Linked DNA regions of Struthio camelus. The protein of the gene in region 2 purifies or fractionates together with the protein of the main gene of each other region. This does not show direct contact. Links are inferred from orthologs where the notes say so. Each region holds a gene or a part of one and is shown on either strand. Other genes may lie near its edges.

Region 1 (6,976 bases), on a different chromosome or scaffold from region 2:
ATATCAAACCTGGAAATTGGAAGGTTGGGGTCGGGTCTATTTAACAACATTAAAAGATGCTAAGTTGAGAACTTTAATCTCTAGAGAAAAGTTTAATCTGCTATGCCTTTTTCCGGTAGTGTGCATAGCTCTTGGTGAAGGGCTCAGGTGATCTCTGGAGATGCTGAGAGCACTGGAATTCATGTTTTGGGGGGGGGGGGGGGTGCCTTTTGGGGGGGAGTTGTTTTTTGTTTTTCTTCACAGACAGTATTACTTCACATGTATATGTGCTATCCTCATCACAGTAAAGACTGCATCAACAGTTTCATCTCTCTGTGACAGACCAATGTTGAGGTTGCTTCCCTTTGCATGGTTGTCCATACTAATAATTAGGATTAGATTGATATTTTAAAAACAAGTAATTGTCACCTATGGTAGACAGCTAAATACCTTTAAAAATCAGTTTTAAGTGTCCAAATGCAGACAGTCCTAAATCCAACTTGTTACTTGTCTTACGTAGAAGACCTATAAACTGTTCCAGCTTTATTTTTATTATTAAGTGGTAGAGAGTACATTCAGAGGTGCCCAGACTGGATGTAAATCTAATTGTGCTTCTTCGAATATCCCATTATAAACGTGTACGTCAGCATATCAAACCAAGCATAACACGGTCCTGCTCCAAAGAGCTGCCTGTCGCCCTCCGCTCTCTCTAGAGAGGAAGGTGCATGCTCACTGCTGAAGCAACTGTGTGTCAGAGACTGCACCCTCCTGAAGAAGGGTGCTGCTCTTAGCCATATCTTTCTGCATTAGCTTTGTATCTTAAATGATATTTATGAAACCGTTCGGTGTAGAAATCTGTGTCCCAGGATAATGATATGTGATGGATGAGTGAGACATTGAAACTAGGGTAGCAGGAGATAGGTATCTGCATGAGTGGCAGATAGGTATCTGACAAGACGGACTCTAGAGTGTTAGGTTCTCTCATGCGTATAGCTCTCAGTGAATTGCAATACTGCTTATTGCTAAATGCGTTAAACAATAGTATTATGGGGTTGGATGTTTTCTTTGGAGCTGGGCTTTTCGGGGTTGTTGGAGTGTGTGTGTGTGTGTGTGTTTGCAGCATGCAGAGTTTGGGCACAAGGCAGTAAAGAGAGCAGCGCTCCAGGCAGCTTAAGTTCAAGAGCCCCCTCTGTTGCACGTTTGCTGGAACCTCTCTACCAATGTAGATATAAAATGAAGCCATTTTCTGGTTTCATGGGGGAAAGTTCACTGTCTGCTAAGGTGAAAGAAGTATGTTGTGGTATGAATAAAGTATTTGCACAGATCACTGCTTTATAGTCACTGTACCTCTGCCTTATACAAAATCCTCTTAGGGATTATTCTCAGCGTTACTTGAAGTACGTGCAAAAAGCTACTCAGATTCTGCCGTTGTTCTGCTTGTGACTAGGTCTGAATGTTTTGATGCACAGAAGTAATTTGATGAAGTGTTCTAGCAGTAAGGAGGATAGACTTTTTTGAAAATGGATGCTACTGGCAGGGACGCCAGTTGCCTGCATTCTCTAGAGATGGACTTTTGGTAACAAAACCTCAATAACCATGTCAGAAGTCTGTGCGTCCCCCTTCTGGCAATCCTTTGCTGCCATAGCTGTGGAGGATTTCTGGCACTCTCTTTGGGCAGCAGCTTTCCTGAGCAATCAGGATACGGAATGTGCTTTTGTCCTGGAAGGTATGTGTTGAGCAGCTGATCTTGACTGTCTTCTTTCAGTGCAGTGACTGCCAAACCTCCGTCTCCTCTCGTAGGATGTATTGATGCATTTCTGTCCTGATAAGTAAGTTCAGTCTAATGCCAGAAGCCAAGTTTATTGTGGTCACTTCACTCTGCACCTTCTCTGAGCTCTGTTATTTGAATAACAGTACTGTTTCACCCTGTGCTGTCTTCTCCACCTAGGCTGGCCTCACTCTGATTAGTTACTAAGTCTTAGTTTTATAAATAAGTTTATAAATAAGCTTTATAAATATGTTGCTGAAAATGATTATCAGCAACAGCTCCTTATTCTCACATGGGTACTTGGTACTAGGTGAAGAGACTCTGTGCTTAACCAAGGACTTCCTGTCAGGCCACTAACTGACACAGGAAGAGCATTGTTTTTTTTTTTCCTGAAGAGTTATGAGGCTGTAACAGGCTTTCTCTATGCCTTTCCTGAGTGGCAATCATCTAGTTTGAACAGGAATTAGATGGGCAACTGGGAGACTGGTCATAGCTGTTCTGTAAAGACTTAATAGTCCAGGCATCAGTATCCTGATCTGACAGCTCTGCTTCTGAATGTGTGAGCAAAATTCTGCTGTAGAAGCCTGGGTTAAGAGGAGGGTTGTAACCAGATCCGTAACTATTAAGGACACAGTGTGTCGTTGTCTTCCCATCCCATGTACGCTGTGCTCTGATTCAGATCTACCTGTTTATCAGCAATTAGTAGCTTTTGTACCCAAGAAGAGCCTGAAAAATTGTTTAGAAAATGGGCTGCAGGCCATGTGCATAGTGGAGGCAAGATTCTTTGGAATCCTTAGTACAAAATGACCACACCTGAAAGAACAGTTGAAAAATTTGTCGAGTTTATGCCATTTAGCATAATGGCAAAGACTAGGGATTTGCTTGCATTGCAGTCTAAAAGTGGTATTGCAGCTCTTCACAAAACTAGTTCATAAGCATAAATAGTTTAGGTGTACTGATAGTGCCTCATGACGTGTTGGATTGCGAATCCCCTCTAGATCCTTAGCTAAGTATTCTGGCAGCCTAGCAGGACTCTGAATATTCTTTGCTTTCATCCAGTTTCATCCAGCTAAATACTCATAGCTCAGACCTGTCATCTTCAGCTGGCGTTACACCCTCAGAATGTAATCCAGAGATGGTTGATCAAGCAGTTTGTATTCTTCAGAATGCCTAAGCTCATCCAAACGTTTATAGTGAAGAAAGCTCTTTGTGTAACTGAGAAACAACGAACTGTTAATCCTTTTTCAAAGGAACAGCAATACAGAATAGGGCAGACTTTGGCATCGGATGCTCCCATACCGTTCCATCTTTGGTCTGCCTTCACTTTTACTTTCCCCCCTCCCTCTCAAAGAGGCTTAGCGCGCAGGAGCAGTTGTTCCTCCTGGGCAGCAGTTGCATTCCTTTTCCGTCAGACTGGCAGTTCCTTCCCCAACAGGCTCGCTCTTACTGTGCCCAGAACTCAGAGTAGTTAGCTCCTTCGAGGTAAGCACAGACCACTTAATCTTTTCTGGCTACAGTACAGGTGTCTCTTTGGAATTGCAGTTAGCTAAGAGAGGCCTCCAAGACTGGAAGCAATGGAGGAAGAAGTGCCGTGTGATGTGTTTGTTTAGCAGAAGCTGGCAACAGAACAGAGGTTATTGACAAGAGATAGGATAAACTTTTGTACAAACACATTGAGTGGATTCAGCTGTCTAGCTGTGCCATGCTTGTGGTCTGCTGTTGGCCTACATTCCCTCCCCCAATGGCACAGCTGTGCTTGGTGGCCCTGGCAGCCTGCAGTGGATGTGACTGCCTGTGCTGCATGTCGAGCTGCATGCTTCCCTCCCTGTGCCACCATGCATGAGTTTGCAGTGGCATTAAAGCACCTAACTTCACCCAACCCATAGCAAGTCGTCAGGAGAAAGCAATACCTAAAAATGATGTAATGCGCAGAATGGTACTTTGATTTGGGGTGGTGGGGGCTGAGATAAAATGTACATTTCAGTACCTTTAGCAGATTTTAATGAAGTTGTGGGAAGGAGACAGCTGCTCTGTCACTTTAGGTAATTAAATAGCCCATGAGCTCTACTCCCCCTTTCCCCGAGTCCTCGACTTCAGACAGACGAGCAGACGCCACCGACCTCCGGGGGAACGAGGGGGCTCGCGGCGCCCCCCGGCGGCTCGCGGCGCCCCGCGCGGCTGCAGCGCGCCCGGCCCGCGGCCCCTTTCGGGGCGGGCGGCCGCACCACGTGCCCCTGGCGCCGGAAGCGGACGCAGCCGCGGCCCAGGCCCTGCGGAGCCGGAGCCGGAGCGCCGCGGCCCCGCCATGAGCCGGCCGCCGGCCCTGCAGGCGCAGACCTGCGGCCCCTGGGAGATGAAGGAGCGCCTCGGCACCGGCGGCTTCGGCAACGTCATCCGCTGGCACAACAAGGTAGGCGGCGGCGGCGGCGGCGGGCCCCCTCGCCCGGCCCGGCCCGGCCCGGCCCGGCCCGGCCCGGCCGCGCTCAGCCGAGCCCGCGCTGTGTCCGCAGGAGACCGGCGAGCAGCTGGCCATCAAGCAGTGCCGGCAGGAGCTGAGCCCGCGCAACCGCGACCGCTGGGCGCTGGAGATACAGATCATGAAGAGGTGAGGGCGAGGCCGGCCGCTCCGCCGCCGAGCCGGGGCGCGGCCTGCGCGCGGCCTGCCGCTCCCGGCGGCGCTGAGGTGAACGGCGGGAGAGGCAGGCGGTACCCGCTGCCCGGCCCCGGAGCGAGCCTACCCCTCCACGGAGGCCAGCGCCTAGGAGCCGGGGGCGCGCCCAAGAAAACCTTGCGTTGTGTTTTCTCTCAGCTTCTGCGTCTCGAGGTTTAAAGGCTTCGTTCTCCAGAGGTTGTGCTGCTGTCTCTAGTGTTATAACAGTTCTGCAGCGTGGCTGCTCTTTGGCCTGACTTAATGTTTCTGTTGGGTTCTCTTTCAAGACGCTGGATTACTTGTGTGGGATGCAGTAGCCTGAAAGTAGGTAGGATCTTTTTTGAAGGATGCTAACAGGCTGCGTTAGACTCCTCCCTCGGAGCTACAGGAAAAGGCCTTGCCGAGATCCGTTGTGCCTGTTCACTGGAGGAATGCACTGACCACGCACTGAGGCTATGCGCGCTCGCTGTGCCCTGAATGCAAAGAGTTGAGATGAGTCTCTAGGTCTGTGAAGGATGAGTGAACTGCAGGCCTCGAGAATGCACTGGTTCGGTTTCTAAAAGGATTAACGTCCCTGTAGGGCTTAGAGTGACACGTGCACATGAAGCTGTGGAGCTCTTGTAGAATGATCAGCTTTCAGGTTTCTGCCGTGGCTGAGGTGATATGTATATGTGCCTCGTTTCCACTCCCTAGGCTGAACCATCCCAATGTAGTGGCTGCCCGTGATGTCCCTGAAGGGATGCAGAAGCTTGCACCAAATGACTTGCCACTGTTGGCCATGGAGTATTGCCAAGGTGGAGACCTCCGCAAGGTGAGGTCACTGGGATGGAGATGGTGACTAAGGGGCCTCAGCAGGATGAGACCTGGGGTTTGTCTTCAGAAAAGTTTAGTTCAGAGTATAAAAGCTCTGTTTTTGTCCCCTGCTGCTTCCAAATTCATGTCACGGTAGCTACAACGTTTGGTGGGTTGGTTCTCGGAAAAGTTCCGTTTCTAAAAACTTAAATATTTTCTGAAACTTTCTATGTTTGTCTGGCCACAAGTGATAGGTTGTGGAATTTGCATGTAGAGGATGAGGGTGTGTGAGAGGGATGTACGACAGGCTGTGAGCATGGCCAAGAGCATCATAGGGCAGATCTGTGGGCGTTATCCTTCCCGGAACTGATAAACCTCTATCTGTCATAGGAAAAAATAATTTGTGGCCATTCTGATCTTGGTGTTTTTTTAACCTTTGCTATAACTTGCCCGTAGATAAAGCCCAGAGTGTACAGCTGAGATTAGAGCTGATAATGCAAGGCACAGGGGAAATGGCTATGAAGGGTGGAGATGGTAGAAGGAAGAGGATGGAGGTGATACTGATTTATTCTAGCCACCCTTTCTCCTCTCCAGGATAGACCAAGGTCTTAAGCTCTAACTATTGCTACCAGAGGTCCCAGTCCCATTTCCTTGCTGTCACTGGAGCTTCTTACATTCTTGAGAGCTTATGGGATGTAGACCCTCGCTTAGGACACAAGAGGGAAAGATTACCTATGTTCTGTGCTGCTCTCTTGCAGTACCTGAATCAGCTGGAAAATTGCTGTGGCTTGCGGGAAGAAGCTATTCTCATCTTGTTGTCTGATATTGGTAAGTGTTATTAGTATCTTCAGTTGTCCCAACTGTGGAAGCCCTTTACTGCTGAATCCACTTGAAGGCTATGTGACAGTGACCTTAATGGCTCCATCTTAGGCCCTTGAGTGGTATACTTGCTTCCGGTCTTGTTCTGCCTGTCCTCTCCAAGAAAGCTAACCTCTGATTTTTCCGTTCTTGAAATTCCAGTGTTGAGATGGATTTTCTTTCCCAGCAAAAATGCTACTCAGGATTTCCTGGAAGGTTCTGGATAGCTGAACACTTGCCAAGTGACTCCAGTTTATATTGCACATCATCTCTCCACCCTCAGTTTATTAGCTCATCAACAGGACTGCAGAGTGTGTGTGATCAGTTGTTTTCCATTAGCATTTGGGCCACCAATATGTGGAATTTGAGACAGTTCTGATGTTTGCAGTGTGATGCAAAGATTAGAGAAAGCTGTCTAGAGACTTTCAGGCTGGTGATTGTTGTTCTTTGTTGTTTTAGCAAGCTATGTTGTTGTCGGGGGCTATTGTTATGTGGGTCACAGCTGAGGTGAAGCAGGTGGACGGGTGCTAAGGCTTTAAAGAGAAGAGATTCAAAAAGTGGTTTTGGGGCATGTTGATCCTTAGAAAGCGAGCTTGTGGCAAGAGGAGGAACACGTGTTCATTAGTACTCCTACTGCTAGGCAGAATCTCCTGTCCTTTATGTTCCCAGAGCATTTGTACTCTGCTGTCTGCATTCTTTTACCCCCTTCCTGACCAGGAAAAGATACTTAGAACTGACCGGAGACAGTGGTAGGTTACGTTTAGAGCGCAGTTTGTGTTTATGTGCTTGTGTGTATATGGCAAGAGGGACGGTTCTGAATCTCCAGTTGTGCGATCCGAACCACAACCAAGCAGAACCATTTTCAACTATTGATATAACTTGTTCTTCGGATCACTTACAATCCCTGCTTAGCTGGTCTTCCTAGGGTT
Region 2 (7,858 bases):
AAAAAAACAAAAAAACCAACAACAAAAAACCCCCAAAACCCCAAACCAGGCATGCAGTGAAATGGCTGAAACATGTTGTAACCATCTGTGAAACTCAGGCTATCATTACCGAGGGGGGGGGGGGGAAGGGGGGGGGAGGGGAACAAAACCGGAGAGAGAGAGAGAGAGAGAGAGAGAGAGAGAGAAATTTGAGGGAACAACCCCCCCGCCACCCGCCCCAGACACGCAAACCAAGAAACGAAAGTGGGTCACCAGCCAACCGCAAACAGGGACCGAAAACAGCAGCGCCCTTCACGCTTCCTACCTTGAAGGTGAAAGAGGCTCAGGCCAAGCCGCCCCAGGGAGCTGAAAGGGGCTGGGGTGTCTCCGACCCAACTCCTTCGCTCTGCGCGCGTCCGGGCCGCTCTCCTTGGCCAGGAGATATAAATATATATATATATATTTATATGTGTGTGTGTTTGTGTGTGTGCATATATATATATATATATATATTTTTTTTTTTTTTTTCTTCCCCCTCTCTCTTTCCTCCTTTTACGACACCCTCCCTCCGCCTCGCCCAGGTGAGCTGCAGGACAGGCTCGGCAGCAGGAAGAGGAAGGCGCAAAGGGATGATGAGGAGCGGGAAGGCTGCGTCTGCGGCCGGCGGCGAGCCACGCAGCGGAGCAGAGCCGCCCCGGAGCGCCGGCGGCCCGTGGGAGCGCGAAGGCTGCGCGTCTCCCTTCCCCGCCGCCCCGTCCCCTCCGAGAGGCGGCCGGGCTGCTTCTGTTTGAACCCTATGGGCAAAGGGCTGCAGGGGAAACCCAGCGCGATTCCTGAACAATGATGTGCAGTGTCCCAGGAAAACTCATCCTCCTCCTTTTTTTTAAAAAAAAAAAAAAACAAAAAAAAACTCGGTTACTTATCGTCAATTCCCCGAGTGTGATTCAGACTACCAAGGAGGGGAAGGAAAAAAAAAAATCGCGTGATGAGTGTGAAAGTTATACAAAGTATGAAAACAATTTCTTGTCTTTTTTTTTTTTTTTACAGTCAGACTTTTAAATGCTTCCAGGCTTTTCGCTGAGCTCCTGAGGAGCACAAGCTCACTTTTACACAAGCTGCAATCCCTACACCTTCGCGTAACCCCAGCGGGAACAGCACGGCGCGATGGGTTTTTAAGCCACCCGATAAATCACGCTGCGTGCTCAGGCAGCGCCAGGCTGCTCGCCACGACCACGTCCCCGCGCTGGCTGGCGTTGCGCGTCCCGGGGCTGCAAAGCTTTCACGACTTCCCTGCGCCCTACGTCTCGCTGTCCAGGAGCTCTTCCTGATCCCGAGCCTGCGTTGGCTTAATTTTAACCCTCGCAGGAGCCTGCCTCACAGGTCCTGGCTGCGGGCTTGTGCGCCGCTCTGGGCGATCCCTGTCCGCCTCGCCCCGCAGACATTTATAGGCTGCCGTCGCGCACGCCCTTAACGCTTGACCAGCCAGCCTGCGCGCGCGGAGCTGCTTAAATCGCCCCCTGAAGTCAGTCGCTTCAGCGTTGCCTTCCTCTCTCATTCCTGGGCAGCAGCAGCAGAGGAGAGAGCCGCCGCCGCCACCCGCCGCGTCCCCCGGTGTCCTCCCGCGGGGGGACGAAGCGGCACCCGCCGGGCCCTTTGCTCTCTCCCTGCTCCCCGTGAAATTTCGGCTCGCCGGTTGCCAACTGAGCGCCGGGGCGGCCCGGGGCCCTCTTCCCTACTCGCCTCCCCCCCAACCGGCCGGGGCGCTGCTTGTGCTCACAAGGCTGAATCCCAAATAACTCTCTGCTAGTAGTTTCTTCCCTCAGAAGAGCATTAGCTCTCTAGCTTTTAATGCCCGTGGCAGCGGGGAAAAAAACGTGTCCCCTTGGCTGCCCACAAACGGCCCAGGCTTTCCGCTGCCCGAGGCAGCTGCCCAGCTCTGCCAGGGGGCCGCAGCCGGCCCCGGGGGCCAGGAGCGGCCCTGCTCCCGCGGCCCTTTTCACATCAGCTCGCCTTTTAAACCCTCTGGTTGCAACCCAAACCCAGCGTTTCTGCTGCAGGGCCAACGGCGGCGTTTTTAGCCAGGCCGCTTTTGTCAGGGGAAAGGGGGCTCTGCTCCCAGCCCCTTCCAAAACTGGTGTTACAAGGTGCACGCCTGGTGAACGCAGAGCTACAGCAAGGCAGACGCCGGCCGCAGCTGCCCGGCCGGGGCGCGCAGGGCGCCCGGCGCAAGTGACGCGGCCCTGGGCTGGGGGCTCTCCGCTTCCCGGCCGGCTGCATCCTGGCGGTGACTCACTCAGGCAAGCTCGGCCCGATGCCGTATTCACTCACTTATAAAAAAGACAGGAATTTGCTGCAAAAACTGAGAGAGGCTGGTTTCTGTTCCTGTCAAGGGAGGGGAAAAAACAGGAGGTAGGAGCCCTCCCTGGTCTCCTCCGGCTTGGCCAGGGCGCGAGGGCGGAGGGAGGGAAAGCGGGCGCGCTGACGAGCGGGACGCTTCCCTTTCCTTGCAGGCGGCAGAGGCGAGGAGGAGACGAGCGAGCGCATCAGCAGAGCCAAGCGTAATGGGCATCCGCATCGCCGTTTAGCTGGCGCGACGGCCTGCGCAGGCAGAAGGGGACGCGTAGCCGTCGTCCCCGCAGCGCGCGTTAAGCGCCTCTCCTTCTCAAGGGCGAAACGTTTCCCAGTTACGCGCACGCAGGGTACTTCTTTGGCAGCCCGACCGCCGACCCTCCCAAACCCAGCCCCCAGGCTCGCTCCTCTCGTAGCGAACTTGGGCAGACACCGCGTAACGTTACTTACAAGCCCCTGACAGACTTGGCTCCGAAAGCATCAAGCAGCCAGGGCTCCTCAGCCGCTGCGGCATTGCGGCAGCGAAAGGGTCGCGCGGGTCGGGAGCCGCGCGCGCACGGGCCGGCGCCGGGAGCTCTCGGATGACAGCCAGCAGCCCGAAACGTCCAGGGGAAGACGTCTCGCGAGGAGCTGACAGCTGCCTGCTGGCCGCCCGCAGCCTCTCTGACCCTGCGCGAGGGGAAATGGCAGCCAGCAGATGAAAACGATTCGCAGCTTCTTGTGGCCCCTTCATGGTTTCCCTTCTGTTACTATGGAAATGCACACGGGTTGGCAGAAGAAAAGGTATAAGCACGCACACAGAGAAACAAAGTGCAATGTATCTTTAAAAAAAAAAACAAAAAAAAAACAGATTAGAGATTTTAAAGAAGTGCGAGGAGCAGTTACAAAGCCTCTCTACTCCTTCTCCAGCTTTCCTTTTCTTTCTTTTTTAAAGGATCGTTGGAAACATTACTATTGCTTTTATGAATGCAGTTGTAGCTTGGGGCCTAATATCACAATATGGCAGAGCTGCTTCTGAAGGCAGGATGCTGCAGTGAGAACGTAATAGTCCTGCCGGCTGCTCTTGCAGGATCGGACCCAATAGAGGAATGATTGATCTATGAAAAAAATACATCAGGTAAAAAAGTTTGCATTTCAGTTTACCTGTGACTTGCTGTCTACATCCCCCCCCACCCCAGTAGTATTTTATTCTTGCACAGGCTGCAGCATCAGTCCCTGTTATTATCGAACAACCAGATGCTTCAGTTCCTACTCAGAGGTGCGGAAAGAGTGGCAGTAGCTTAAAGCATCCTCATCATGCAGCCAAGCAGATTTTTATGCTCTTACAAACGAGAAGCTGGTGCCCCTCAAAAGGAAGAGACCGTAGTTTTCATTTAATTAATGTGATATTTGGAAAAAACGGACAAGCCTGTGAAAACACCAGCCTTTCTTACAGCCAAAGACATGCCTTCTTTCCTTGCCAATATATATCAGTTCCTATCTACATGACTGCTTATGCATCACACCCTAAAGCATCACAAGGTATTAAAAAATTAACTAGCCCAGGAGAGGGGACCAGAGCTGCAAGCCACGGGGTGGAGGCACCGCTGGGCTTTGGCACATGCTGAGTTAGAAAGTCTCTGAGTAGCAGCTTCTGGGGCAAAACCAGGGATTGGGGAAGGGAGCATCACCCAAGTCGGGGTTTGGAGCACCTGCCCAAGGAGCCCAGCCCTACATCCCAGCAAACATCTGCGACTGAGTTAGGACTAGATCACTAAACTCCCAAATCCTCTTTAACCATAAATCCCGCCTTCCTCTCCTAAGGAAACACCGAGATTCAGACTTGCGCCTGCCACACGCCAGGGCCTTTCCCAGGGGCTCAATTACAGCCTCCTCGGGAGGGGATGGAGCCCCACTCAGGCAGGTGGAAAGTGTTTACCGGTTATTATGGGAGGAGGAGATGGGCGGGTAGCTGGCTCGTCACCAGGCTGAGCTTCGTTAGCCCAGCAGCGCTCCTCACCCGGGACGATGACCGAACTGCTCCAGATGGGAGGCTTTTTGCCTGAGCTAAAAGCACTCCAGCTATTTCGCCTGCTCGCTGACCTCCGCACCGGTGGGATGCTGGCGGCCTGCCCAGGAGCAGCGTGCGGCAGCTGACGGCCCTGGCTGCAGCCCGTGGTGGCAAAAGGCTGCAAGGGGGTCCAAAGCCACACAGGAGTCAAAATCAGGGCCTCGAGCACGTGCCTTGGCTGGTGGACGCCTTGCAGTTAGCGCCTGGCTGTAGCAGCCGGCAGAGCTGGGCAGATTTATTTCCGCAACGAGGGTGTCATTATCTTTGGTGTTGCAGCTGATACGTGCAGGCAGGGTGGGAGAGGGGAGGGAAAGCTGTTCTGATTAGTACCTGATGTTCCTGGAGTTCAAATAAAACGCTTACACGGTTCCTATAGTGCCTTGATCAGCTCCTGCTCCCGGCTGCAGGGAACTGCGGGAAGAGTCGCCCCGGGGGAACGGCGGCCAGAGCCTCGCGGGTGGGTGGCACTTAGCGCTTCTCAGCTTCGCCCAGCGGGGCGGGCTCCCTTTCTCACGAGGGCTATGAAAAGTCTTCTGTCCTTCTCCACCGTTTATACACCGGACATGAGGCTAGACCCACCAGTAAATGACAGCAGCTGCCGGCCTCCCCCCTCCATCCAAGATAGCTGCAAGCCTGTCGGAGGAAAGAGGCTGTGGCTGTAATCACCAGCCAAGGGTCCTCGCCAGGGTCTCGATCCAGTGCGGCTCGTGGTGGCCGGCGTGCGTTTGAGGCTCTATGGGACACGGCTGGATGGAGAAATGGCAAAGCCACAGGCTGTTGGCTTCAACTGGCTGCATAGAAATGCCCCTGGCAGTTAGGTAGCCTCATTCAGTGTTCAGTCTCCTGGGGTTATTTCTGTTCTGACCGCGTGTACATATCTTTATTTGAAGTGGTGTTTGCGGCGCAAAGGAAGGAGCGCGGAGCAGCCTGCCTCCTCAAGGACATGATGCCCTGGGAGCACTGTGTGAAATCTGGCCTTCATGTCAGCGCTCCCAGGTCCATCAGTCACGCCTGCAGGCCTAAGGATATCTGTGGCCGCGACTGAAGGACCAGTCTCTGTCCCCTCTTTAGCTTGCCAAACCCCAGAAAGCAGCAGGTACTGGGAGTATTTCATCTCACTTGAGCTTCACGTACTTCATGAGCCTGAGAGACAGGGAAAAAAACCTGAAAGGCGCTCTCTGCACACTGTTAACAGCACTGTTGGCAGAGTAGGGTTTAAAAGCAAAGACAAAGTCCAGCCTGAACCTAAGCCCCCCCCCCCCCCCAAAGTTGTAGACCTGCTGCCAGTTTTGGATTAGGAAACTTAGAGAATAGGTATCTCAGTTTATTTCAGCACTGCAAATACTGAAAGCCTGTCTCTCTCCTTCCCCAAAATCAAGGCTACAGTAATTGCTTTCTGAAGGCCTCTTTTCTGTTTCTGGAATCTTCCCGCTCACTTCACTGGAAGCTGGATCAAGCTCTGAACTCTTTAAAGTTAGTATCTCATCTGTACACTATTTTAAAGCAGACTGTGATGTGTCATATTGGGGGCCCATCATGGAAAGTACAGATTAACATTCAAACACAGGGTGACTATTTCATTGGCAAGGCAGATAATGTGAAGCCTTTTTGTAGTGAGCAGTCGCTGGTCCTTCAGGAGTTGGAAAATTTCTTGTCTGTTAGGCAGAAAACGTCAGTGTTGAGTGCCACTTCTTATATTTTCTACTGCATCTATTTATTCCGAAAACTCTCTCAATCATAAATGTTTTGCTTCCAAATGATTAACTGCTCGAAAAAAAGCACTGTAATATTGCTTGACTTTTAAAAATTAGTGGAGCGAATTTATGAAGAAACATTACGACGACCATTTCATTGCTTAGTGTAACGTTTGTGACCACCGCTTTCTCCAGTTGCCTGCACTCCGCTAGCTCCTCCCTGGCTCTGCACCGCGAGGGAAACGGGCCCTTTCTTCCCTCTCCTGCTGTTTAAATTGCCAGGCACGTGCCTACAGACATCTTCTCCACTAATTTTTTTTAGGCCTTTGCTTTGGCATTTGTTAGTTACGCCCCGAGAGACACCTAAACGGAACGAAAGTGGTACCTATACGTTCGCTTACGCAATGCTTCTAATTAAGCCTTGCAAAATGACAAAAACCCTCTTGCCATTTGTTAAAATTTTCCCCACAGCCTTATGTATCCTCTTAATTAAGAGCAGAAGCTAGAGAGTAATACCTATTTTATTCCCCCTCGCTTCCAATTAGTCATCCATTGATCATTACCCACTCGACGTTTGACAATGAGCAGAGCCGCCACTCTCAGCAAGGCCAGGGTAGCGGTATGTATTTCTGCAGCAATGACACGTCTGAAATAACGCAAGTGGAGCAGCGTGGGTGAGTGATGGGGCGAGAGGTAGGGGGAAGGGGAAGGGGAGGCCACCCATGTGGAACAAAAGACGCGTAACATATGCAAATGTTCAGTATGTGGTATGTGCTGTAGACGCGGGACGTATGTGATGAGGTCATACACAAAGCTCGGCTGGAGGCCTCACTGTGTTGGGGAGGCATGGGAATTTGCGGGAAAAACTTCAGTTCTCCTCTGATCAAAAGTACCTAGTCCTCTTCCTTGAAGACGTAAATCAGTTCCTGTTGTGGCTCTTTGCCGTTGCTGTTTCTAGAAGACCAGGAGTTTATCATCTGCTGCTCGGTAGTCACCCAGGCTGGGGTCTGAGGCTTGCACAAACGCAGCTCACTTCAAGTCTCTGCCGGCCCCAGACCAGCTTGCAGGAATGCCCAGGCTGCAGAGGGTGGCTGGCCGGAGAGTGTACCAGCCCTCCGGCAACGGCCCAGGACCCTTTTGCTAGGACCATTGCAGCAGGTTTTGAACACCCCAGGACCCTTCCTGTGCAAGTAGCAGATTCTGGCTGGGAAAATTCAGCTGCCTTAATCACAGAAGCAAATAAAGTGCAGGTGAAGCCAAGGCATTTGGGCAGGCTTTTGGCATGTAGCTCAGCTCCAGGTCTGCGGATAAGGCTGTAACAGTTGAGAAAGCTTTCCTGCAGCCTTTTCTTCTCCCTTCCCTCCCTCCCCCCCCCCCCCCCCCCCAATGAAAATGCACCATTACAGGCCCATGCATCTGTTACAGGCCTCGGGGATTTTGTACGTGGCTGTGACAGTAGGTATCTGAGCAAACTTCACGAGACTCCAGGTGCGGGGCTCAGTAGCAAAGGCTGATGCATAAAAAAGCAAATCAGAGCCCTCAGCAAGCTATGCCTCTGCTGTGGAGGAAGGAGGATAATCTCATTTCTTTGCTCTTTGCCCTTTTTGCTATTCACAGAGCTTAATGCTGAATTATTCCCAACAATGAGCAGAACAATCAAACTCCCATCTGGCTTACTCAGTCAGACGTAACACTTTCCCTTCAGTCACGGACACGCCGCTCTTGCAATTTCTTGACCAACTTAAATATATTCTGTTTACCCTCCCCCTTCCCTTCTCCCCTGTAA

The links. The genes of interacting proteins can lie anywhere in the genome.
Region 1: the proteins of TRAF3IP2 (region 2) and IKBKB purify together in Homo sapiens (affinity purification with western blotting; 3 studies listed by BioGRID, with this or other methods). This does not show direct contact. The link is inferred for Struthio camelus from reciprocal best matches to the Homo sapiens genes TRAF3IP2 and IKBKB.

The regions. Positions count from the first base shown.
Region 1 is NC_090968.1:7,907,803-7,914,778, forward strand, and holds the start of IKBKB (inhibitor of nuclear factor kappa-B kinase subunit beta), read left to right. Parts: upstream 1-3,967; 5' UTR 3,968-4,052; coding exon 4,053-4,157; intron 4,158-4,257; coding exon 4,258-4,352; intron 4,353-5,090; coding exon 5,091-5,208; intron 5,209-5,947; coding exon 5,948-6,017; intron 6,018-6,976.
Region 2 is NC_090944.1:61,206,563-61,214,420, forward strand, and holds the start of TRAF3IP2 (E3 ubiquitin ligase TRAF3IP2), read right to left. Parts: upstream 3,004-7,858; 5' UTR 2,779-3,003; intron 409-2,778; exon of another isoform or gene 305-408; intron 1-304. UniProt on the Homo sapiens protein: E3 ubiquitin ligase that catalyzes 'Lys-63'-linked polyubiquitination of target protein, enhancing protein-protein interaction and cell signaling. Transfers ubiquitin from E2 ubiquitin-conjugating enzyme UBE2V1-UBE2N to substrate protein.